4 linked regions of the Xenopus tropicalis genome follow. The protein of the gene in region 3 binds, or shares a complex with, the protein of the main gene of each other region. Links are inferred from orthologs where the notes say so. Each region holds a gene or a part of one and is shown on either strand. Other genes may lie near its edges. The genes, in order: stk25, stk24, strn and stk26.

Evidence for each region.
Region 1: strn (region 3) and stk25 share a complex: the UniProt entries of both Homo sapiens proteins name them as parts of the core of STRIPAK complex. The link is inferred for Xenopus tropicalis from reciprocal best matches to the Homo sapiens genes STRN and STK25.
Region 2: strn (region 3) and stk24 share a complex: the UniProt entries of both Homo sapiens proteins name them as parts of the core of STRIPAK complex. The link is inferred for Xenopus tropicalis from reciprocal best matches to the Homo sapiens genes STRN and STK24.
Region 4: strn (region 3) and stk26 share a complex: the UniProt entries of both Homo sapiens proteins name them as parts of the core of STRIPAK complex. The link is inferred for Xenopus tropicalis from reciprocal best matches to the Homo sapiens genes STRN and STK26.

What each region holds. Positions count from the first base shown.
Region 1 is NC_030681.2:125,795,735-125,802,199, reverse strand, and holds the start of stk25 (serine/threonine-protein kinase 25), read right to left. Parts: upstream 3,758-6,465; 5' UTR 3,531-3,757; intron 838-3,530; 5' UTR 829-837; coding exon 607-828; intron 430-606; coding exon 373-429; intron 1-372. UniProt on the Homo sapiens protein: Oxidant stress-activated serine/threonine kinase that may play a role in the response to environmental stress.
Region 2 is NC_030678.2:121,399,083-121,404,753, reverse strand, and holds the end of stk24 (serine/threonine-protein kinase 24), read right to left. Parts: intron 5,452-5,671; coding exon 5,309-5,451; intron 4,297-5,308; coding exon 4,191-4,296; intron 3,713-4,190; coding exon 3,644-3,712; intron 3,271-3,643; coding exon 3,134-3,270; intron 1,824-3,133; coding exon 1,787-1,823; 3' UTR 850-1,786; downstream 1-849. UniProt on the Homo sapiens protein: Serine/threonine-protein kinase that acts on both serine and threonine residues and promotes apoptosis in response to stress stimuli and caspase activation.
Region 3 is NC_030681.2:50,047,762-50,053,432, reverse strand, and holds part of strn (striatin), read right to left. Parts: intron 3,329-5,671; coding exon 3,192-3,328; intron 2,235-3,191; coding exon 2,059-2,234; intron 1,713-2,058; coding exon 1,665-1,712; intron 875-1,664; coding exon 753-874; intron 1-752. UniProt on the Homo sapiens protein: Calmodulin-binding scaffolding protein which is the center of the striatin-interacting phosphatase and kinase (STRIPAK) complexes.
Region 4 is NC_030684.2:67,410,209-67,416,596, reverse strand, and holds the start of stk26 (serine/threonine-protein kinase 26), read right to left. Parts: upstream 3,849-6,388; 5' UTR 3,658-3,848; coding exon 3,616-3,657; intron 1-3,615. UniProt on the Homo sapiens protein: Serine/threonine-protein kinase that acts as a mediator of cell growth. Modulates apoptosis. In association with STK24 negatively regulates Golgi reorientation in polarized cell migration upon RHO activation.

The sequences.
Region 1 (6,465 bases), about 76 Mb from region 3:
AACATATCTGTGAGTGCTTATGGTTGTATTTACATAGACCTTTCTGATAAAGCTTACTTAGTTTTTACCTTTCCTTCTCCTATTCTGATACAATTTGCAACTGTCCATTCTTTTTTTATTATATGTGGTTATTTAATTATTTAGCTTTTTAGTGAAAAAAAAAAAAATCAAAACAATGCAACTGTAGCCTCACAGAGCAATAGTTTTTTTGCTGCTGGGGTCAGTGACCCCCATTTGAAAGCTGAAAATAGGCAGTAGAAGGCAGCAAATAATTAAAAAAAAAACTATAAAAAAGAAAATATGAAGACCAACTGACAAGTTGCTGGATGGAACCTGGATAATGCAAAAGACAGTTAAGACATATTTCCTTACCAGGTCCAGAGCAGAGCCTCCTCCCAAATACTCCATTATTATCCATAGCTTTGATCCCTGAGGATAGAGGAGAATCTGTCAGATGCGGGCAGACATTCTAGAGCTGATATTGCAAAACAGGTAACGCTAAGAAGATAATAACTGCAGACATGCACATGTATTGTGTTTAAAAGTGTTTATCACCATATAGAGATCTATAAATCACAACCTTTATTTAAAAGCAAATGCAGTTACCTTCAGGTAGGAACCATAATAGCGAGTGATATAAGGACTGTCACACTGGCTCAGCACTGTAATTTCCTGTTGTATGTCCTCAATTTCATCCTCTGCCTCTTCCAGGTCAATAATTTTGATGGCTACAACTTCTTTACTGCGATTCTCTATGCCCTTATACACCTCTCCAAAGGAGCCCTTCCCAATGCGCTCCAGCTTGGTGAAAAGACGCTCAGGATCCATCCTAGAGCTCTGGAAATGCAGAGAGTTTACAATAAGGATAACAACTAATGGATAATCTACTGAAAGGTCCTAAGGATGCCAACCCATGGGACAGCCTGATTAGCAATTTATACTAGATGAACCACAAGCACACTAAAGCTTTGGGATATATAGAGCAGAAATCTACCACATCCCCTTCTATTGTGCATATTGGATACCATCCCTTTATGACCTTTATAAAGAGAGGCTTTATTGAGAACTTAGATAAAATATGGAGACTGTGGATAGATGAACACTGGCCTAACTATGGTTATAAGAAATAAAACTTAATAGACAATCCCAAGGGGGCAAGGGTAAATTCAAAGGATGACCCCCTGACCCTGTGTATAGATAAACATTGGCCTAACTATGGTTATAAGAAATAAAACTTAATAGACAATCCCAAGGGGGCAAGGGTAACTTCCAAGGGTGCCCCCAGCCCTCTGTGCTGATGATTTACTACTTTTCCTATTTGATCCCCACTTAATGTAATAAAAAATACCTTGGCATCATATGCTCCAATACACTCTAATTTACTGAAGACGATATTGGTCAGGTTGTCAACTACCTTGTCTAAGCTGCCTTTTTCTTTGCAGTTTAGAATCAACTTATATAAGATGATTTACTTACCTATATTGTTATAAAAACGACAAAATTCCCCCATATGGATCCCTGAGAAGCTATTCAGGTATGTCAATTCTACTGTGCTCCCATTTCTATGGGCTAATAAGTTCCCACACATGGCCTGGACCTCTCTTATGTCTCCAACTGACAAAGGAGGCCTTGCTCTCCCTTATTTAGGCTACTATTTCCTAGCCAGCCAAATTCATCATATACATGGTTGGTTCCATATAGATGAGGTGGACCCCAGCCTCTTGCTCCTGGGATTAAATTTGGGTTCCCGAGGCAGTAAAAAGTTTGCCATATAGAAGGATAGCCAACTACAATGACTGTCCCTCAACAGTCTCTGCCCCTTTGAGGTTAGCATGTACACTTACTGGACGCACACCTCTTGTACCCTCCCCCTTTCTACCACTTTGAATGAACTGTAACCTACCCCACCCTAGAGCCCTTCAGGACTGCTCCTACTGGCTGCTCTTGGGCCTTAGGTTTCTTAGGGATGTTCTAAAAATTCCCCACATACCCCACATTACTGCAGCTCAAAACAAAGTGCAAGAAGCCAGATTTGCATTTCTGTAGGTATCTCCAAATTTACCATGCATTCAGGGCACAGTATGTTAACCCCCACCTTCCCCCCAGTAAAACTGACCCCCTACACAACCTGGAGAATAAGAAACTGACATCAAGGCTTTATCAAGTACTCATAGGTACAGCCTTCCCTAGTTTTGGTTATGTTTTCATTAATTTCTCTGAGACCAAGCTTCCGAGATGCCAGCAGCCAGAGGCATCCTTTCTACACTTGTTGTAAAACTGTCCCTCGAAACAGAGTTTTTGAGGGGAGGTGATCTGGTACTTGAGTTGAGAATATGGCATTCCCATGTTTACACTCACCTGAGATCTGCCTGTTAGGGCTGGTTGCAGATGTATTGCCCCTGAACAGAACTCGTTCTCTCATCAGAGCAGTCTTGTGCTATGCCAAGAAACTAGTAGTAATGCATCTGATCGAAAATGATGCCCAAAATATTTTAATTACGAACCTCCAAATAAACAGGGGTTCATAATTAAAATAATTGTGGGGGAAGTGATTTGAAGGATGTGTAAAATGTTGTTAGAAAAGTAACATGTGGTATGGGATTACAGAGATGTACAATTTGAAGTACAGAGGTAGAATATAAGGAAACTGCTGCAGGGGGTTATTATTATTTGTAACCATTCAAACCTTTTCTTCACTTTTATTTGGTCTTTGCGTAATAGGCTCCTGCCACACGGGACAGATTAATGCAGGATAAGATTATTTCTATACATGACTGGAGTTACCTCTGTAGGTTGAGGTGTTTTTTAAAAGGATAACAACAAATGTTTTAGGCGCTTCTTATGGAGCTGCAAATCTACAGACACATGCCATTCACACACACTACAGTCAGCTTTATCAGAACACAGTTAACCTACCTGTATGTTTTTGAGTTGTGGGAAACTGGGGTACCAGGAGGAAACCCATGCAAACACAGGGAGAACAGGCAGCAATTCTATGTCCACTGCACCACCATGCTGCCCACATTTTGTGCTAGTAGTTCAAACATTGTGGGTAATTCTGGATGGCCATATTTATATAGGCCCTCGAAGGCAACCCATGCCAGTCACCTAGATTGTGGTCAAATCTAGAGGAGCAGCTGGTGGGGGGGGGGGGGGGGGGGCACATTTCTGGGTTATCAGCATGCACCAATTGCCAAAGAGTATGAGTATGCATTGCCTGTGGGGGGGCTAGGTAAACAGTAGGGTAACAAGGTCCTGCACTAGGGGTATCATTACCCCTATTTCCAGCCCTGGGAGAAGACTTCCAAAACCTGTACTACAGATACAGCCCTGCTTATTTACCATATTGTTACTATTATATAGCCCTTAGTGTAGTCCCCCATAGTATGCAACAAACTTGCTATTTCCTGTGGATATTTCCAAGTGCCAGTCAGATATAGCAGCAGTTTCCACTAAGGCTGACAGGGAATGGTAAGGGATTGGAAGGGTTAAACTGCTCACACAGAGTGTGTTCCTTCTGAACTACTTACAGTTCTGTGGTACTTTGCTTGTAGATCCCTGCTAGCACTGCAGCTGCTGACACCATGTCTTGTCCCTCGTTAGCACTGCTTACTGACACAGGAGACTCCCTGGAGCATGTGGGTGAGGAGGAGGCAGGGCACCGGCGCACACACAAACAATACTGTAAAGAAAAAGCATTGACTAAGTGTTAATACAGCAACTTCAAACAGCAGCCTGCAAGATGGAGCCCTGCTGCTCTACATACACAGCATAGGAACGGGAAGTACAGAACATGTGACCAGCAGCTGTCGCTCTCGGATTTAAAGGGACAGCACTATATTTTGCACAAGTGGTCGTTCTGCCTATTACAAGACAGCTTTATTAACAATCTCTGAGGAGAATTGTGATACAGTTGCGGTGACTTCTTTGACTGGGCACTATTATATAAAGGCATATCTGTGACACAGATCCACAAACATGTCATTTTTTCATCACCCTCCTTTGCCCTGGCCAGTCACCAGGTGCTTTTTGGGGGCTGTTGCCCCCCCCCCCCCTTACCCACTCTGGGCTTGTTTTTTTTTTACTTTAGAGCCGGTCAATATGGGGCAGAAGTGCTAGTACAGAGACTGTGCTATTGCACTATTTAAAAACAGAGATTGTTTTTGCCATCGCTGGTAATTGGCCACTCACTGCCGCCTGTGCCAAGCTTGTCACTAAGAGCAGCCCTGTCAGTCACTGTCAGTAACAGCCCAATCATCTAACCCCTGTAACCAGCACCTGAATTCATTCTGAACCCCTGCAATTGAAAAAGCCTAAAATGTGCTCAATGGCCATGCAATTATTTCTATTAACTGTGGCAGTGAATGTTTCTCCTGAGCCACAAGTGCACCTGCTGGATCCAGGTGTTTAACCATTCAAGTCACTGAAGTGGCAATGGAGAACATTATTGTGCACATCTGGACATTGAGCTGGACATTGCATGGCTGGAAAACACTGTGGGGGGGATGTCACCTCATGTGCCACTAAAATAAAATGAGGCCATAACTATCATTCCATTTCATTGCCTACTGTTCAACATTTAAGTGAGAGGGAGTGAATTTTTTGGCCACGCCTACTTTCCCAGACTTCTCCTACTGGTGGGGCCAGCGCCTTTATCAGAGGCATGCATGTATATAGAGAACAGCACAGTAGCACTGTAATTACATTTTATACATTTAATGATTCTATTAAACCAATGTGTAGGAGAGACAGGCAGTTATTTGATTGAATATCACTATGTCTAAACTAAAGTGACACATTTATTTTTCATTCGGGACACCAGAGGATTCATGCACACAATCATACAGTGTCCGACTGTCCCACCAGTAGGGTTGCCACCTGTTTGAACCTACCGCTTGGTTTCTCAAATTAGGAAAACCAGGCAGGGCCCAGTAACATTGACGAGGCAACTGGCCAATCGCAGACCCCAAGGCCTGCCTCTTCCCCACCCCATGATGTTGGGGCATTGGGCTGCCCATGCTCACTTACCTGTCTGTCTGGTTCACCTAGTGCTCACTCTTACTTTAAGCTAAACCTCCCCTACTGGTGCCAGGTCTGACTTACCCTCCTACAGATGATGTTATCTCTGCCACGCCCTCCAGTCAAGACAACTGGACCCAGGTGACAACCCCTTTTTTATACTTTATACTTTTCTGCCTAGACTGACCCCTGGTGGCTGGTGGTATGAAGTACACTTACCCTATTTTTTATTAAACCTATATTACTCTGCTGCCACCTGGTGGCCAACTTAACACATAACATTTTTGTATTACCATTTAACACACTATCACACTTATTAACCAAACATATGTTCCATTCAAATGCACTCAAATGCATCATTTTTCCACCTTCTTACAAATGCTTCAATGCTGCCTGTGCTAAATGGAAAGAAACTGTAATTAAAAATCTGAGCTGTCAATCCTATAGTGCCTGACCGGCCGCTATGCCTTAGGCATAGGCAATATAGGATTGACAGCTCAGATTTTTAAATTCATTTATAACAGATATGGATGATTTAATTAAAAAAATAATTTTGGTTTTCATGTTTTTTAATTATTATTTTTATGTGTGGCTGACAGGTCCCCTTTAAGAGTTTTACAACTTTACTCTGTTTATGACACTCAGGATAGAATAGTTAATGCTAATTTAAATGCCAATTTTTGCCATTAGTGCATACTGACCAAATAATATATATTATATATAATACAAAAGACAGTTCCCACCAACGCCATCAGTGATTGGTTAAGTTGGTTTATCACAGGCTGAAATGGTGTGTTTATCCGCACACTGAGAATAAGCCCCTATGTGGCATTAGCTAAACATCAATTTAGAAATCAATATCCTTTGAGCCCTAAGAAATCATCCTCTGGATGGACAGCTTCTGCAATAACACAAATAGCATGATATACCCTATAATATAAGCCTCTAAAATAATATGTAAGTACTTAAACTTGACCCTAAATGAGGCTGTTTCTCAAACAGGATATTAGTTTGCTTAAGGGCTCTGGTACACGGGGAGATTAGTCGCCCGCGGCAAAACTCCCTGCTCGCGGGCGACTAATCTCCCCGAGTTGCCTTCCCCCTGCCATCCCACCGGCGAACATGTAAGTCGCCGGCGGGATGGCAGACGCGGCGGGGCGATTTCGGGAAATCGCAGAAAAAGCCTCACGAGTCTTTTTCGGCGATTTGCGCAGAATCGCGCCGCCGCGTCTGCCATCCCGCCGGCGACTTACATGTTCGCCGGTGGGATGGCAGGGGGAAGGCAACTCGGGGAGATTAGTCGCCCGCGAGCAGGGAGTTTTGCCGCGGGCGTCTAATCTCCCCGTGTACCAGAGCCCTAAAGGAACAGTAACACCAAAAAATTTATATATTTCAAAGAAATTAAACTATAATGTACTGCTGCCCTGCACTGGTAAAAGTTTTGTT
Region 2 (5,671 bases), on a different chromosome or scaffold from region 3:
ACCCAAGCCCATTCATATATTTAGCTTGGGTCAGAAGTAAATCATTTTATTTCTGTTCCAGTGACTAAATTACTTGGAGGGTGGGGGCAGCCAAGCTAACAACTCCTCTCTCTTTGGTATGCACATAGCCAACCAATCATGCTTAAATGAAAAGCCTCTTCAACTTCCTGCTGGGAACAGGTTCCTTTTTCTCATCAAAAACCCTTTTTGTGTCTACATAAACTGAACTCTAAGCAACAGGTAACATAGATACAGCAAAGCTGAGAGAATGTTTGGGTTATGTAAACATGGAAATCATTACAAGGCCTACTGAAAAGAAGCATGGACTCCTGGCATGAAAGGTGATAATGCAAGTGCCAAGTCTATGAAAGTGAAGTCAGCTGTAATAACTGGGTATGTGCTGTATTGCCATCGCCTGGAGAAACACTAACACCAGGCAATGCCCAGCCCATATAGGGCTGCAGTTTTCTAGGCATATGTGGTTTGCAATGCTGGCATTCCTGCTTAGTAGGTATAGCCCACTAACTAAGGAATGTTATCAGGGAAAGCAGAAAAAAACGAAATAATGAAAATACAATAATAGTTTTCAACTGTGTTCGCTCTATATATAAACCTGTGGCATCTAGCAGGGGGCACTGCCAGCACATTGTGACTGTTGCGGGTGCTGGATGTTGTAGTTCAGCAGCTGGAGGGTGGCACGCAGGATAGCCCTGACACGGTGTTACTGTCACACTAGCTCACCATTCACACTCACCCACAGTCACAGGATCCTCCCTGCTACAGACACTGCTCCGCCGCTGTCTGCACAGACCAATCAGTGACACGTATAGAATGATGTAACTGCAGGCATTTCTGTACGTATAGGGTTATAATATTCTCATAACTTATCCTAGTGATGAGGCTGTGCCTTACATATTTCAGACATATCTATAAATTAAAAACATTAAAACTCCATTGTGACAGTACCGATCCTCTGTCTTTTAAAGTATATACAAATAATATGTATCGATAAATGTACTGAAGACATATCTAAATGCCACTGCGTGTGTTCTGAAGAAAATAGCAATACTGTACAATGTCATATGTATTCTGACAAAACATTAAACTGGTTTTATCTAACAGATGTCCAAAGGGGCTTCTATATGTAGGTAACAAAACTCACTTGGCGCTTGACTTAAACCATGAACATAAAACATAAGTATGGCTGCCAAACATGAAATCCATACACAAAGCGTGTGTGGCTCCATTCCCCTCTTGCAACTAGGGATGCCCTGGGTCAGTTTGTAGGTTGGCAAACTCTAGTAAATAGTCAACTGTAAAGCTGGGATGTCAGCCCACGTCCCTCCAGCTGCTGTGATTTGCATTACCCAGTATTCATACCCTTCAACTGCTGGGGCATGCTGGGAGCTGACAGCCGCTTGAGGAAGGAAGGCTGAGGCATCTGATGGAGTAATTTATTGTACAAGAATTGCACAGAGCTTTCATTCCATCTCCAGCAGAACTGACTGCTTAAAGCAAGATACCTGAGGTTTCACAATATCTTCATTTGCCTTATCACAGTACTTTGCAGAGTTTTTTGTTTTTACATTTTTATATATTCGTACTATGATTAGAAAAAAAAAAAGGAAAAGAAAATCATAAAAACTATAGCTTTCACCATTTCCCTATGTTTAGTCACTCATCATTCAGGAATGTCCATGTCCTGTGATATCCATGAGCAGAGGCAAGTACGATAGGGATAATAATGCAAGGTCCATTTTTGCCTTAAAAAGGAGGAAAACATTCTTCAGTGCGAGGAAGAGTCCACTCCATTAACGGAATACCTGTAATGCAAGAATAGGAAAGGAGTAACGAAGGGCAGCCAATTATTTTGGTTATTATTTTGGTTGCCAAACGTTTGGTACGCCCAGCGTTTGTAATCACTTGCCCGAGGATGGCTTGGTTGAAGGAACCCAGGGCCGGTGCAGTTTTTGGCAGTCTGGAGCACCAGCCTGGGGTTCCGCCAACCAAGCCATCCTCTTCTTTTGTGAAAGATTTGTCCGAAAACCAACCCAAATCCTAATTTGCATTTGACGATTAGGAAAAGGAAGGGTTAAGGAGAACCGCACACAAAGTGACAGTGAAACATTTTCAACTTCTATGTTTATGTGACAAAAAGTCACATGATTTTTAGGATTCAGATTTGGTTCAGCCAGGAGCATGGATTCTGCCAAATCCTAATCTTGTGGAAAAAGCTGAATTTAGGCCGAATCCTGGATTTAGTACATCCATAGTAAAAAACTAGAATGTGCCACTGCATTATACTCCTCTAAACATAGAAGAAATGTGCTTTAAAAATAAGTGTTGCAAGGCTGATTTATTGAAAAGTTCTCCAAAAACAGTCCCACCCATCTGTTTCACTTCCTACTGCCTCCTTTCCCAGGCTGTGCAAAGGAACCAGAAGCACTTAGCACACTGCATTGTAGGACAGGAACCAATCAGCAGCTAGGTGTAACTGATAAGGACCTGAAACCTGCCATTGTGTGTGTGACTGCAGGGCTGTGATTGGCTATCCCGCTTCTACTGTGCTTCTGGTACACCTTATTTGAAACAAGGAGAGGGCAAATCTACAGGGAGCTCCAATAAAAGGGGCCATTTTTTAAAGATAATGATCATTTTTAGCCCTGAGTGAAATCTGCACCACATATTATTCATTATTGCCTACAAGTTTGGGGGGGGGGGGGGGGGGGGTCACATATACTATATCATTTTAGTATATTTTAGCCTTAGAGCAAGAGACAGAAGCAAAGAAAAAAAAGTTCCAAGCATTCGGCATACCAAATCCAATCTAGGTAGGTCCCACTCTCTCCAAAGGAAACAATTAAGTTAAATTACTGTCTGGGTTATTGTGTGCTCCAAAGGTTTCATTTAAGTATAAAGCTTTGAATTAAATTGTGTGAAATTTGACTCCTTAACCAACTAAATTGTCTTTTCTCTATTACTGTGTGGTGTCCCGGTGGCAAAACAAGTGGTAAATACTAAATTGAAACTATTGCTATGCAGAACCAGGTCACGGTGAAATACACAACACTCACGCACACATTGATATATGTGATCAGCAAGAAACAAATCCATGCAAAATGTTAGTTCTCACCTCTGAAGCCTAATAAGAAGCTGTGATACCATGGAGTCCGAGATACCCGGACAGGCCTCTTCAGCTAAATAAATTGCCTCTCTCAGTTCCTCTATTGAGCCTACGTTCCCGCCACACGCTTGACTCTTCTCCTTCAGCTGAAAGTAGAAAAAAATGCAAAAGTCTAAGGCTAATGCCACACTGGGATGATTCTCGGTCTGTGGGAAAGTCTGAGAATTAGCCCCTAAGCTGGCATCAGCCTTCTTCTTTGGCTGCACCCAGAACAAATGTGCGAGTCTGGGCACATGCGGCATTTCTTTACCAATATCTCCTGCATGTGCCTGCACCCTGGGCAACACAATGGCTCCAGGTGAAGGCAAAGAAGGCAGCTGATACCAGCGAAGGGTGCCGATTCTTGGTCTGCATTTTTCAACAAGCCGAGAATCAGCCCCATGTGGCATCAGTCTTACCCTTAGGGGCAGCTGCTCATTAAAACAAGAATGAGCCAAAGAATAGACAAAATGTACCTACCTCTGCAAATAAAGGAGACATAATTGTAGATAAGCACTGAGACAATGGCCGTTTGGGAATGTCTTTAACCTTAAATGTAATGTAAAAAAAAATAAATCAGTATTCGTCAGTAAGCAGACATTTTAGAAGAATGATTATTTTAATTTAAAAGAGACAAAATTCATATTTCTTAATATACAGCATATATACATACAAGCAAAGAGAAGTGAGGACGGTGAGTACTGCACATAACCCTTTCCATTCTTGTTCATTTAAAGAACATGACTCTTACTGCCATCAATACAATTAATGCTATAATAATAAATGAAAAAGACAGGGATTATGCTGCCTTGACTACTCCTAAAAGCATCGGAGGGAGACATTGTTAAGCACTTACTTTATTATAAGATTTAAAGTAATAGGCAGTGTATGTTTTTCCCATATCAAGCAAGGCTGGGGAGTGTAGCAAGCACTTACCATTATAAGTCATTGGTTCATATTAATATAAACTGTAGTATAATGGCTGGACAATAGGAACTTTTCTTGTGACTCAGACTTTATGCCTTACCTCTTCTGGCTGTGCAGGAATGGGCTCCAAGTTCTTCAAGTCTCTCTTTCTTCTTGTGAAGTTCCAATAATCCTTCTCGCTGCCAGCAGCTTGATCTACTTCTTCCCTTTACAGTGGGCAAAGGCAGACATATATACAAGGTTTATTTCTTATTACTGAACCTGCACTCTATGCCTGATCAATTTTCCCCTGTATTACTATAATTATTTCAATTTTTTCATAGAACACACACAGTTTTAGAAAAGGTGATTAGCTTGCAGCTGCATTTGTAATTCCTACTGGCATACCCAACCAGTCTCTCTACCAGTTTCTCTTATCCCCAGGATTTGACACTCAGTCTGCACTGCTGTCAGGGACAACTGAAACTGCTTGCAGAAGCCCCCAGAGCAGCAAATGCTGACCCAAGATAACCACTACTTTGCAAGCAGCAAAAAACATATGTATTAACACAAAATGATCAGCTCTGGAGTATTTTTAAGCCATCAACTTATTTCATTTCATTATTACTGAACAGTAGGATGGGGTCAAAGGAGGAATTCATTGAGTGTTAATGAGCTGAGGCACCAGAGTTAATGCTGAAGTAAATTTGGAAATAATCATTGGGGATGGAGTCACTTCCAAAGGCAACTACACTGTACATGTGGTAACTCCATTTTGTTTCTATTTCCAATTCTTGCTTTATAAATCCCACATTCTAAATGAAAACACCATCAGAAGGAACACAAAAGGGCTTATTTTGAGCACAAGCCATATTTTTGCATGTACAGTTCAATGTGAATCAGACACACTTGCGCTGAGAATCTTTTGGGTTCAGATGTCAACATTGGTGGGGCTCTGCTTTAAAACAATGGCTGTGCCCTGATTCTTTAGGTGCAAGTCCACTGCATCAAATGACACAGGCCACTATGGGAACACTGCGGTTACTGCACCCTTGAAGGGGACAGCAGCTTCAGGGTTTCCTACATCAATGTACGCAATTCAGGAAGCGACACAGAGTTAGTGCCGCTGAACACAGATATGTAGAAGAGCAAGAAGTGGCTTATTATAATATTAATAGTGCTTTGACCTTACATACAAGTAAGCCAAACCACTAGCAAAGTCATTTCATTGGTACTTACTCCTCAGAGTCTGAGCTGGAGGCTTCATGGCCCTGTTCTATCTTCCATCTCTTGTATCTGTCTATGAGCTCTGTTAAGTAGGAGGTTTTCTTTGCACTTCGCATAATAAACTTGTGTTTCAGCAGTTCCTTAGCTGAGGGTCTCTGGCAGAGGTTAAAAAAATTGTTCATATATTTCCATTTAGAACAGGTTCAAGCAATAAGTTATGTATAACAAAAGATATCAGCTAGTTTTATGAGCCGGCCACTCCCAAGTATTTGTCATTTAGCAGAAACCCCATGATCTCTATGTGGGAGTCCATATCTTCAGTAAGAAGGTCAAGCTGTTTACTTTTGATTTAGGTTTTCTTTAACCTTCAGTCCA
Region 3 (5,671 bases):
CCTCTATGCCTAAGGCATAGAGGCGGGGCAAGCAATGTATGATTGACAGCTGGGATTTTTAATTGCCTTTATAATGGGTTTTGATGTGTTAATATAAACATGAATTTGGGTTTCATGTTTAATTTTAAAAGGACTTTTATTATACAGCTTTTTATGTCTGGGTGACAGGTCCACTTTAAGATTCTGAATGCCATAATGAACTTGCTCAGCATCACACAAAGTCGCTTCCCTTAAAAGATAATGCTAGTACGGTACCTCAAAATAATTAATTTGGTTTTACTCCTCAACCATTGTCCATTAGCTCATTTGTAAATACCATGGAATAATCGTACACTGACTTATTAAAGCAGCACACTAAACAATTTCTAATACACATTAAACAATATCCAATATTTCAGTTGGATATGGTTATTTATTAACACTTTACAATCTGTGCACTTCTTTAATTTGCAACATTGTTTCAAAAGTCGGAACTGAAAGGCATAAACAAATCCTGAGAAACCAATGGGGTTTGGGAGTGGAAAAGGCAATATACTGGTCGTTATAGCAAAGGCTGTGTTTACTTCTCCTTTAATAGCCAATGCACTGTGTTGTGATCTCATCAGCACTGAGAAGAACAAGGGGCATATGTGCTTTTTAAGTTTGTTTTTACCCATTAAACAGAAAATTTGATTTTAAAAATTGTGAAAAAGTGCATGAATATGATGAGTTTTGATGTCCCTCTGCTGCAAACTGCTAAGTTTGTAACATACCATAAGAATCATATGGATCCACGTTGGAGTTAGGAGTATTCCAGCTCTGGATAACACCATCTGTTCCTCCACTGTAACACTGCTCCCCATTACTGCTCATTACTACACAAAGTACTGGGCCCCTGGAAAGGATAGGATGCTTATTTGAGTAATTAATTAAAAACACGAAAAAACAAAATTCAACGTTGAGTAGAAGATAAAAATAACCTATCAGCAATTACTTCTGACAATTGAAAATATTGCTTGCAAGGTGATACTTAGGCGCAGTCAAATAACACTAGTTCTAATCCAGTACAATGTCTAGCCATTCTAGATATTTTACTGCCTTACCTTAAAGAGCACCTATTGAGGATATCAATATTGAATATTAATGACTCTGCCATCCTTAAAGTTAATTTGAAGGTTAAAACCCTTTTAATGAGAGAGTCTCCCTACTAGCTCATTATGCATGTGGCATCAACTCATCAATGGCACGGGCACAAGCACATTAAATTGGCGCAGTGTACTGATCACACGTCTGCCACAAGCGAGAGATACTAAACACTGATATATGATTTAATAAGTCAAATCAAACTTGAATTAATCTTAGAACATGTTCAATTTGAAGGCAGTCATGTGCATAAATTATGGACCTTTGTTACACTGCGGTTCAAGCGGATAAATACAACAGGCACCAGTTTACCATGTTAGGAAATACCTTAATATAAAAGGGACTAAAAAAACATATATTTCAAATATAGTCTCTTCTTTGAAAAGTCATTGGTGTATGATGCATTTAATTTAATCAATGCCTAAATATTTTACTGCACAGCTATTAAAAATTTCTCTTAATCTTTAACTTTACCCATTACCACAAATATAAACGGTGATCTAAATAGAAACATTAGCAAAAAAGAAAACCTTGTTTCTTACCTGTGCGCCCTGAATGTGTAAATTGGTTCTATATCAAGGGATGTACTCCTAAAAGAGAAAAAGTGTAATTTATATATGTAACTGACTTGTCTATTTTATAGTTTTTTTGCAAAAATTATTTGAGTGTAATAAATGGCCATAAACTGGTCAACCCTCCACAGTATCTGACCAATCAGCCCTTGTGCAAAAAGGCTGGATACTATATGGACTGGTCATAAACATGGACAACCACATTCCATCTTTCCATTTATTTGGGCTAACAGCCCAAACTGCATGAAGTGAAGAGGAGCTACAACCAACAAGGTGCAATGGAAGAAAGAAATTGTCAGTACTGCCTAGGACACACTATGGTAATAAAAATCAAAAACAGTGCATAGTTTAAGCACAAACATACTTTTTTGCTGGAGCAGTCTTTTGGAGATTCCACATTTTTAAAGTGTGGTCTTCTGATGCTGTAATAAGCACTGGCTCTGAAGGGTGGAAGGCGAGGCCACGTATGCCATCAAAGTGACTTCTCAATGTGAATTTAGGGTTCCATGTTTTCCTTAACGCATCCTTATTGTTGGCAATCTTGAGAGAGAAAAGACAACTCACACATCTTTATAGTTTTATGTAAAAAGGAATTATATACAAATAACTTTAACAATGCTACATAACCAAATAATACACCTACCTCCTAAAGGTAAAACCAACCATACGGCAATATTTTGAATCACAGCCTAAAATATAGTGATCATAAAATCCATTTCCTATAATAACTTTCTAACAACTACTTCCACTGTTTTTTGCAAGTGTAGTTCACCTTAAAGTTAACTTTAAATACATTATTAATAGTCCTATTCTTAGAATCCTTTTACGTGGACTGTTTGCCTTCTCTTCTGCTTTTTTCCAGCCTGCATTTTAAAATGCTATCTAGGTGTCTGGGGTCTTTGGCGTAACTACAGCAGCAAAGGGCTGCTTTTTTATTTAATTGCTTATCATTATATTGATAACCTCTGCTGCATCTTTCAGTCCGTTACAAAAATCTCTGGTTGCTGGCATAAATTAGACCGTAGCAGCCTGATAGCTTTTGAAATTTCATTTTGTAGAGCTAAAAAAACCTAAATAAAAAAATGATCTCATAATATCTCATATCACTGACTACATCATACTCAAAGTTAATTTAAAGGTGAACTAGCCCTTTACATTGTACAACACACAGCTCCTCTATGACAGCTTTCAAGAGAAAAACACAGAAAGGAAAAAGAGACATCAGTATATCTAGTAGTGGCAATTATAAGTCAACTGGACTTGCTCAGTAATCTTGACACTGTGTGACAGCTTATTTGAGAGGCTTCTTTAGTTTAACTGAACTGATCGATCAAAAACCATCATAGGTACATAAAATGTAATAATTAAGTGTTCAGCTATAAAAAGACATAATGCAATCTATTCTTAGCTTTCTAAACAACATAAATAACAATGAAAAGCAAATATCAGTTTATGTAAAAATTATTTGATAATTCTTCCCTCTGAAGGAGAACTTACATCATATGTCAAAGAATCTGCTTCATTGGCAACTGTAAGTCCAGCCAACTCTCCAAGTCCAAGCTCATTTTCTAAAGCTTCATCTGCTCCCATGATAAAAGATTTTCCAGATGAGGGTGGAAAAGTTAATGCTTCCACTGAAAAAAAGACAACACACGCTTGTTACTTTTAAAAGAATGTGATCTTTTATGTGGAAACGCAATATCCAGAAAGTGTCAAGTAAAGCAAATAATTTAAAATGATCAATTTCCCAATTTTACAATGGTAACTAAGCTGCATAAAACCATATTGGGGAGAAAAATGTCCTCAGAACTTGACTTCACTAGACATCTACCCTTCATCTGTGGCGCACTCTGAAACTTTTTTACCTTGGTCCTGACTTCTGTAAAAGGCCTCAATAGTGGTCCATGGCTCCAATAGTGAACAATTTCCACTTAAAAGGGGCACATGACAGGGATGCCCCCTGTCCCCAATGCTCTTTGCCCTAGCTATGAAGCCATTTGCACAAGCAATTAGACAACACCCCAATTTCACGTGCAAGAGAACATATACAATTATGCACAGACAATACTTTAGTATATTTGGGTGATCAAGGACTTTCCCTGGTAAGTCTCCTAGGCCTAAGCACCACATTTGCTCAAATTAAGGGTGCTGTTACAAGTGCTGCTAAATAAGTAAGTTATTCTACCTGTGGATCCAACCTTCCCCAATAGTCAATCAATTTACCTATTTGGGGGTAGTGATCAAACTACCTATTTCTGGATACTATAACGTAAACATACTTCTGCTAAAAGATTTCATAACTAACAAAAGCAAAACTTGGAAATCTTTCTTAATAGGCCCAATGGGTAGAATACAACTTAAAAAGGTGATACTCCTTCCCTAACTAACTTATGGTCTCTGGCAAGCCCCTTGCCCAATTAGTCTTTAGTGTATCTTTGTCACATTATTTACACAGCTGATTTGGGGAGGCTCCCGCCCTTGTCAACTAAATACCTTGACTAAGTGTTGCTTTCCCCAATATCTTTTTGTACTACACTGAGGCTCAATTAAGCCACTTGGCAGCTTAGGTGGAAAACGCAAATCATCAGTCAGTTTACCAACGTCATAGCACATTGCTGGGCTCTACCTGTACCAATCATGTTGTGATTTTTGTGCAACAAGTTTGCCAAAAAAACAGTCCAACTAATGCTGTTTACTAATATACTTCCTTAGACCCCTTTCTGGAAAAATGTCTGCTTTCCTAATATTGCTAAGCTGGGAAAAAACCTTATGTTGGAAGGGTGTGGTATTCTCACCATAGGAGATGCTTGGCAAAGGTGAACAATGGCTTCTTTTGATAGACTTAAGCAACAGTTTCCATTACCTGCACATTAATGGATGAAATACTCTCAAATTAAGAGATACCTAATGGTGCAAAATAATAAAAACACTATTCAGCTCAGAAAGTCACAATAGTGGTGCATAACAGGAAACCACTTTTATTACACTTAAAGGAGAAGGAAAGGCTATTAAAGAGTTATTTTCAACCTGTAGGCATACCTTTAGTTCTCTCAACAGTGCCCTTGTGTCTCCCCATATTTCTCCCATTCAGATGATCAGAAGCCTCATAGGAAAAAAAAACCACTGAGCTCTGTAAAGAAAGTTCCCATAATGCCATGCTCCTGCACCAAGACCGGTGTACATGCGCAGTTTGTAAGATTATGAGTCAGCTTTCTGCTGATTGGCTCAGATCACACATTCCTAAGGGGGAGGGAGTTCTTAGCATTCTTGAGGGAGGGGGCAGCAGGAGAAGGGAGAGAGCTGCGCAGACTCTGGCACAGGAAAACAAAGACAATAAATCCTGTTTCTTTTTACAGAGAAGTCAGTGCAGCGTTTCTGTGAGTGCTTATGGCTGTAGTTACATATACCTTTCTGATTAAGGTTACTTAGTATTTAACTTTCCTTCTCCTTTAAATACCGGATTTGTGCTTTTTTCCCCCCCAAATTATACATATGACCCTGTTTAGATATATAGGTGAATGAGCAGATCTACCAGGTGAGGGCAGCTATAAAGAGAAGTTCGCCTCGCAGGAAGTCAGTGCTACATGCAGGAAATTTGCACTACCGCCAGGCGACAAATACCCTTTCCTTTACTAAAATTCAGATTGCTGCATGTTAAACACTTTAAATGTGGTGATCCACATGTTAGCCAATAAAAAGGTATGGTCAGCACCAATCTGCCATGACCCTTAAAAAAGAAACTAAAATTTCAAAGGTAATGAAATTCAATTTGTTTTGATCATACTGCTCTCCTCTTGAGCATATAAAGCAGTGTGGATGGACGACAGCCTGTCACTGTTGCTACCTTGGATATGCTCAGAAAGAGTTTTAGCCATTTCTCTAATAACACAGAAATAATAATTTTGCCTTCACAATGCAGTGTCACAAGTAAAATTCCCTGTAACTATGATAATCACACAACTAGAAGACCGCAGCTA
Region 4 (6,388 bases), on a different chromosome or scaffold from region 3:
TGGCTGAAATCCACTATATTTGTGCAGAAACTTAGTTTTTGGTTTCAGGCCCTCCCAGATTCATCGCTAGCAACCAGAGAGCAATAAAAAAATTCCAGACTTGAAATATACTGAACACAAAGCTACATAATTCAGAAATCACAAAATCATAAAAAAAAGACTAACTACAAATTGTCTTGAAATATCACTATCTGCTCCATAGTAAAAGCTAAAGGCAATCTACCACTTTACATTTTTGCCATTCCTCCATTTGTTACATTGTGTTGTCTTTCTTGTTCATGTGCTTAAAGAGGTTGTTCCACTTCAAATAAACTGTTAGTATGATGTAGAAAATGCTATTCTGAGACAATTTGCAATTGGAATTCATTTCTTATTATTTGTGGTTCTTGAATTATTTCAGCAACTCTCCAGTTTGGAAATTCAACATCTATCTGGTTGCTATGGTCCAATTTAACCTGGCAACCAGGCAGTGGCTTAAAAAAGACAATTATGAATAGCGAAGGGCTTAAATAGAAAGATAAGTAATGAAAAGTAACAATAACAATAAAGCTGTAGCCTCAAAGAGCAATAGTTTTTGGCTGCGGAAGTCAGTGACCCCATTTAAAAGCTGGAAAGATTCAGAAGAAAAAGGCTAATTCAAAAACTATAAAAAGATAAAATATAAGGCTCAATTAAAAAACTTGCTAAGAATAGGCCACACTATAACATACTAAAAGTTGACCTGAAGGTGAACCACCCCTTTAATGTGGTATTAAGAAAGTGTGTTACCAGGGCAGTGAAACCAAGACTACACAAAGTTGTTGTAGCTGGAAAATATTATGCAGACAGTGCTAGTTATTTTTAATGAATTAGTCACTAAGAAAATCCATATTTATTCATGTATATATGAAGATATCAATATCAATGAAAATAAATATATTTTCAGTGTTTTGTATTTTATTCTCAGTGTTATACACAAGCCTGATTTATCATTGTGTACATTCCCCTAACACCACTAACCAAGGAGCAATCAGGCACACCTATATATCTGTATAAATGCCAACATATTTTATAAAGTTTCACAAGTTTCACTTGTTGTTGAGGAATGAAACGGTAGAAAACTTCAACATGGAATTGTGGGACAATAAATAACTAACAAGTATTCTGATTTAATTATAGGCACAGGTCTCGAGAACAGGTCAAGTATAAAGAAAGTTAACAAGTGCACATACATTAGATACCTGAATGGGTCTATTCAGATAGATCCACACATGACCTGCATTTTTCCCCACTCTGACAAGCTACCAAACCCACAACCCTGTCTGCTACCTGCTGCCCACTCTAAAACACAGAAGCCATGTAATCAAAAAATCAAAGGTTGCATCATCAGAAAATACAGAAGGCTGGAGAGAAGCTATTTTGAAAGAAGCTGAGCAAGTTGCCATACACAACCCAAACCCCAATGTACCTACATAATTTGAACCAGCAGGACTCTTAACATACTTAACACAGAAAGGCCTTCACGTTATTGTGAATTAGTTATAAATAAAACAGAGATTAAAACAACAGAGATATATTGGGCCCCTAAACTTCCCAAAATATATGCATGTGGTAGAGTAAGCCCCACTTGTGCAAGGACAAATTAAAATGATAAACAGGATCTCAAAAGAATGCACAACATGTTTATGCTATATAAAGAATAATATTACTAAAGATCATTAAGTTTATGTAAACTATTAACCTCACTTTAAACTTTGGTTAAGGGCCAAAAGCTTCTTGATGCCCATGCTTTTTTAAAGCGTATATTTTAATTCCAAATATACAAACATGGCACCTAACTCAAGATTCTGTACTTAAATTGTCTTCATTACAATATTGTTCTTGGAAGTAATGTAAAATGCATATAAGAACATTGCTTGAACACACCTGTAAACCTAACAGCAATTCCAACATTGATGTATGAAGTGGGTACTATGAGTAACATGTTTATCCTCAGTAAAAGGGGTTGAGAACTTGATAATGGATCAGTTCAAGCTCATCACTGCAAAATATTAAATTTAGAATACTGACAATGATAAAAGATGACAATACAACTTAGGGTCATACATTTCGTACTGCTAAAGTGCCACACCACAAGCACCAAGAAGCCCACTGAGTGACTGTATAACTGGTTTATTTACACTCAGGGGTATAGATTTTGGAGTGTTTGGTGGGATGACCTGTGTGCCACATAGATTGGGCTTTTCTCTTTTTTGTTAGTACAGTATACATTAATAAATATAGCATTTATTGCATACAAGCAATACTGGCATACCCATAGTATTTAGTCAAGTGCCTTAGATGTCTTACATTACAGAATGAGGAAGACACCCTGACCATATTGATAAATGCATTCTGGCCAAGCCATGGATATGATACAGGTATAGGACCCGTTATCCAGAATGCTCAGACCAAGGGTATTCTGGATAAGGGGTCTTTCCGTAATTTGGATCTCCATACCTTAAGTCTACTAAAAAGTCAATAAAACATTAAACTCAATAGGATTGTTTTGCATCCAATAAGGATTATTTATTTCTTAGTTGGAATCAATTACAAGGTACTATTTTATTACTACAGAAAAAAAGGAAATCAGTTCTAAAATTCTGCATTATTTGATTAAAATGGAGTCTATGGGAGACGTGCTTTCTGTAATTTGAAGCTTTCTGAATAATGGGTTTCCGGATAAGGGATCCCATACCTGTACTTTTAAACGCGGGTAAGAACTAGCACTCAAAGCAAACACATTTCATAAATGATGCTGGGCAACTTGCGGGCAGCATATAACAGCCCTGGTTTAGCATAGGTGTGTTACTGTACAGTAATATTTACAGTATTGTGTATAAGCTCTCAGTGTATGCCCGTTTCAGACAGTGTCTAGACCCATGCAAACAGGAGTGAACTGATGACGTCTGTGCTTGGCTTGGGGTTCTTCTATCGTCTCTTTGAAATGTCAGTTCCATATACAGGTGCAAAACACAATCTATTCAGCAGATTTGCCTGAATCTGACACAGGGGTTGAGCGGTCAATGTTAGTCGCAAGGGTCACACAGGCGACATCCCTGATCTTATCTAATGACGTAGCAGGCGAGTTCCATGTATTAGTAAAGTGCAGAATTTCTGGGACGGTGTGGGAACCTTTACTCGGCTGGCCAATAACTACAGCAATCCAAGGTAGCAGACATTACCTCTTTGTATGTGTCAGGATGTAGAAAAGCCAAGCCGGCCCATACTATAGACACAGAACCTACCCTGGTCTAAGGTTCGATTCTTTATGGTACTGGCACTCAGCCTCTCAGTTCCGGATATACAGTGCCAATGTTATACACACAGCCCCCGACTGTGCCTAAGCTTCAAGTTCAGATTCTCCCAGCCCTAGCCCTTCTACTTGTGCCTAGGCTATAACTACAGGTATTGCCAACCCCTTGAGAACTGGCAGTGCCCAGGCTTTCCTAAAGATCCTGCTTAGGTACGACTTAGGTATCGTAAGATCCTGCGGGAAAGACTTTGCCCCATAGAAACGGGCAAGAGGTTTGCCGGCTAATAAAGCCACAGAGAAATCTCATTCGCAGCTCTAGTATGCTCTGCGTGGCAGCTCACCTGCATCCCTGGGACTTGCACGGCTACCGGGGAGTGAGCCATGGCGGGCGGCGTCAAGGCCTCCTACTCCGACTTGGCGGTGGGGTGCGAGCGGGGATTGCTGCTGCCCGCTGCTGCTCAAACACTGCTCTGGCTATCCGTGGCTATCCGTCTGCAGCCTGACACTGTGACCATTTCTCGGTGAAGGTCCAAGTACTGAAAGCCTGGGTAGAAGCTCAGCAAGCTCGGGGCGCCATATTGGGAGAGGACTGAAGGCTGCAGCTGAAGCCACGCAGGGTGGAGCCGCAGTCTGACTGAAGCCGGTCACGTGGGGTTGTGGTGATGTCAGGCGGCCCCGCCCCAAGCGATCATTGAGCGCTAGTATGTGAAAAGGTGACTAGGAAGATGTCATGCTACCTGGGCAGGGCTGGGAAGCTTTGCATAACGAGGCAAATCCGTCGCAGACTTTCCATTTTGTTATGTCAGTCATGCAGGGTGACTCTTACAATATCTCTGTCTGACTGAATCTGCTTTAATTTGGTATTGAACTGATTCTTCCAGAACCCTCAATGCCTCAATGGGGCTCTGCTCCTATACTAGGACTAAACTATCCTACTTAATAGGTGACCTTGGCTCTTCTCAAAGTAGGATAAATAGCCGTGCTTGTGAGAAAGTGTTCTGTAGGCTACAGCCTCCTAATATTACAAAGTTTTACTTTCTCATTATGAAGAAAGGTGGCGCGAATGTGTTATAGAAGACTCCACTTTTTACAATAACTGTTCTAAAAAGTGCAGAATTACTCTAGGTATCACACTTTTACAGTTATTGAATAAGAAGACTTAAGTAAAGCTTGTGGAGCATGTTCTGTAGAGGCTTAAAGGAGAAGGAAAGTCATTTTGGCATTTTACTGCCAACAGATTCACCACATTAGTGCCACCTAGAACACTATATTTATTCTGCAGAAAGCATTACCATACCTGAGTAATCAGCCCTAGAAGCTCCCTCTGTTTTCTTATGATTGCAGCTAATATACAGTTATCTGTTTACCAGCTAAAAATATACTAGAAGATCAATCTAATTTTTGGGCCACAATATATTCAGTATGTCAACAAATTCCCCTAGTGGCATGTTACTGCTGTAAAGACTGGCACAAACATTTTGCTACATTCTGTTCACATTTGCTTTTCCTTCCTGCATATTTTACACTACTGCTTTACTTGAATAGCCTCTTCATGTGTGATGGTGGTGGGACCCCTACCCATGATATCAGTCTGGATGTACACACTAAATACCAACTAACAAAGATTATAGAGATAGTAGAGAAAAGGGTTATGAGGAATGAGCCACTACATAATAGTACCATTGAAGCATGAAAGGTTTTTTTGTGTGTCTCTCTGTATACAGAAGTATGTTGTAGTTGACAAATGTCCAGCATCTGTGTTTAGTTGTGTTGTGTTGAATACCCCAACATACTGTTCTTCGACTTTGGCTTATTCTTCCGCTTCTTCTTGTTATTCTTAGCGCCCCCCCCATTTTCTAAACGCTACTCCTCCTACAGTTTTAGGGGTACAACACCCAAACTCGCTACACATCTGCGCCCTATAGCGGAGCAGGTTGCTTGTGCTTTTCTAAGCAATCCCGCCCCCCGTCTTTATGTGGCGCCGCTCCAATTTTTCCATTGACTTTGACAGGGAAGATTTTCAAACTGCTGCCGCACTTATAGCTTTGAAGCTATACCCCCCAAACTTGAATAACATAATCATGGGGTCACCCTGAATGAAACAGCAACATTTGTTGGATGATCCAAAGTGGGAGGGGCCAACAACAGCCAATCAAATTTCAACAGCCAATCAAATGGGGAAATTGAAACTGCTGCCAATCTTACAGCTTTGAGGCTACACTCCCCAAACTTGAATCACATAGTCATGGGGTCAGCCTGAATGAAAATAGGATGATTGTTGGATGCCCAAAAGTGGGTGGAGCTGTGAACAGCCAATCTGATTTTACCTATTGACTTGGTGGAAATCCAACCTGCTGCCATTCTCACAGTAATAACCCCAGGGTCCCCAAACTTTGCAGGGTTAGGTACCAGGTAACTGTGGTTCAAGGTAAGATAAAGTGGGAGAAGCCACCAACAGCCAATCAGAGTTTACTTATTGACTTTCAATAGGAAATTCAACCTGCTGCCATTCTCACAGAACACCAGGGTCCCCAAACTTTTCACAGTTGGTCACTAGTGGACTGCAGTTTTAGTTTTAAAAAGTGGGCGGAGCTACCAACAACCAATCAGATTTCACCTATTAATTTTTATTGGTTTGTTGCCAGGGTTCCCAAACTTTGCATAGTCAGACACTGGGTGACTATGCATTTAAAGGAGACATATCCTATAAAAATTATGAATGTGCCAGGGAATTATACTCCTCTAGATATAGAAGGATTGTGCTTAAAAAGTTGTGTTTCTGACTGATTTATTGAGAAATTCCACAAAAACCCCACTAGCCCCGCCCATCTGTTCCACTTCCTGCTGGCTGAATTCTCTGGATGAGCTGGGGAGCCGGCGGCTCTCAGTACCCTGCACTGTAGGATAGGAACCAATCAGCAGCTAGGCTGACCTGATAGGGAACTGAAGCCTGTCTGTGCTTGTGTGCCTGCAGGGCTGTGATTGGCTATCCCCCTCCTACTGTGCTTCTGGCAGGGACCGTTAGGACACGCCCACTCTCCATTTCAAACTCTGACAGAGAAGTGATAGGATCTATAGGGAGCTCCAATAAAGGGGCCATTGTTACAGACAGGA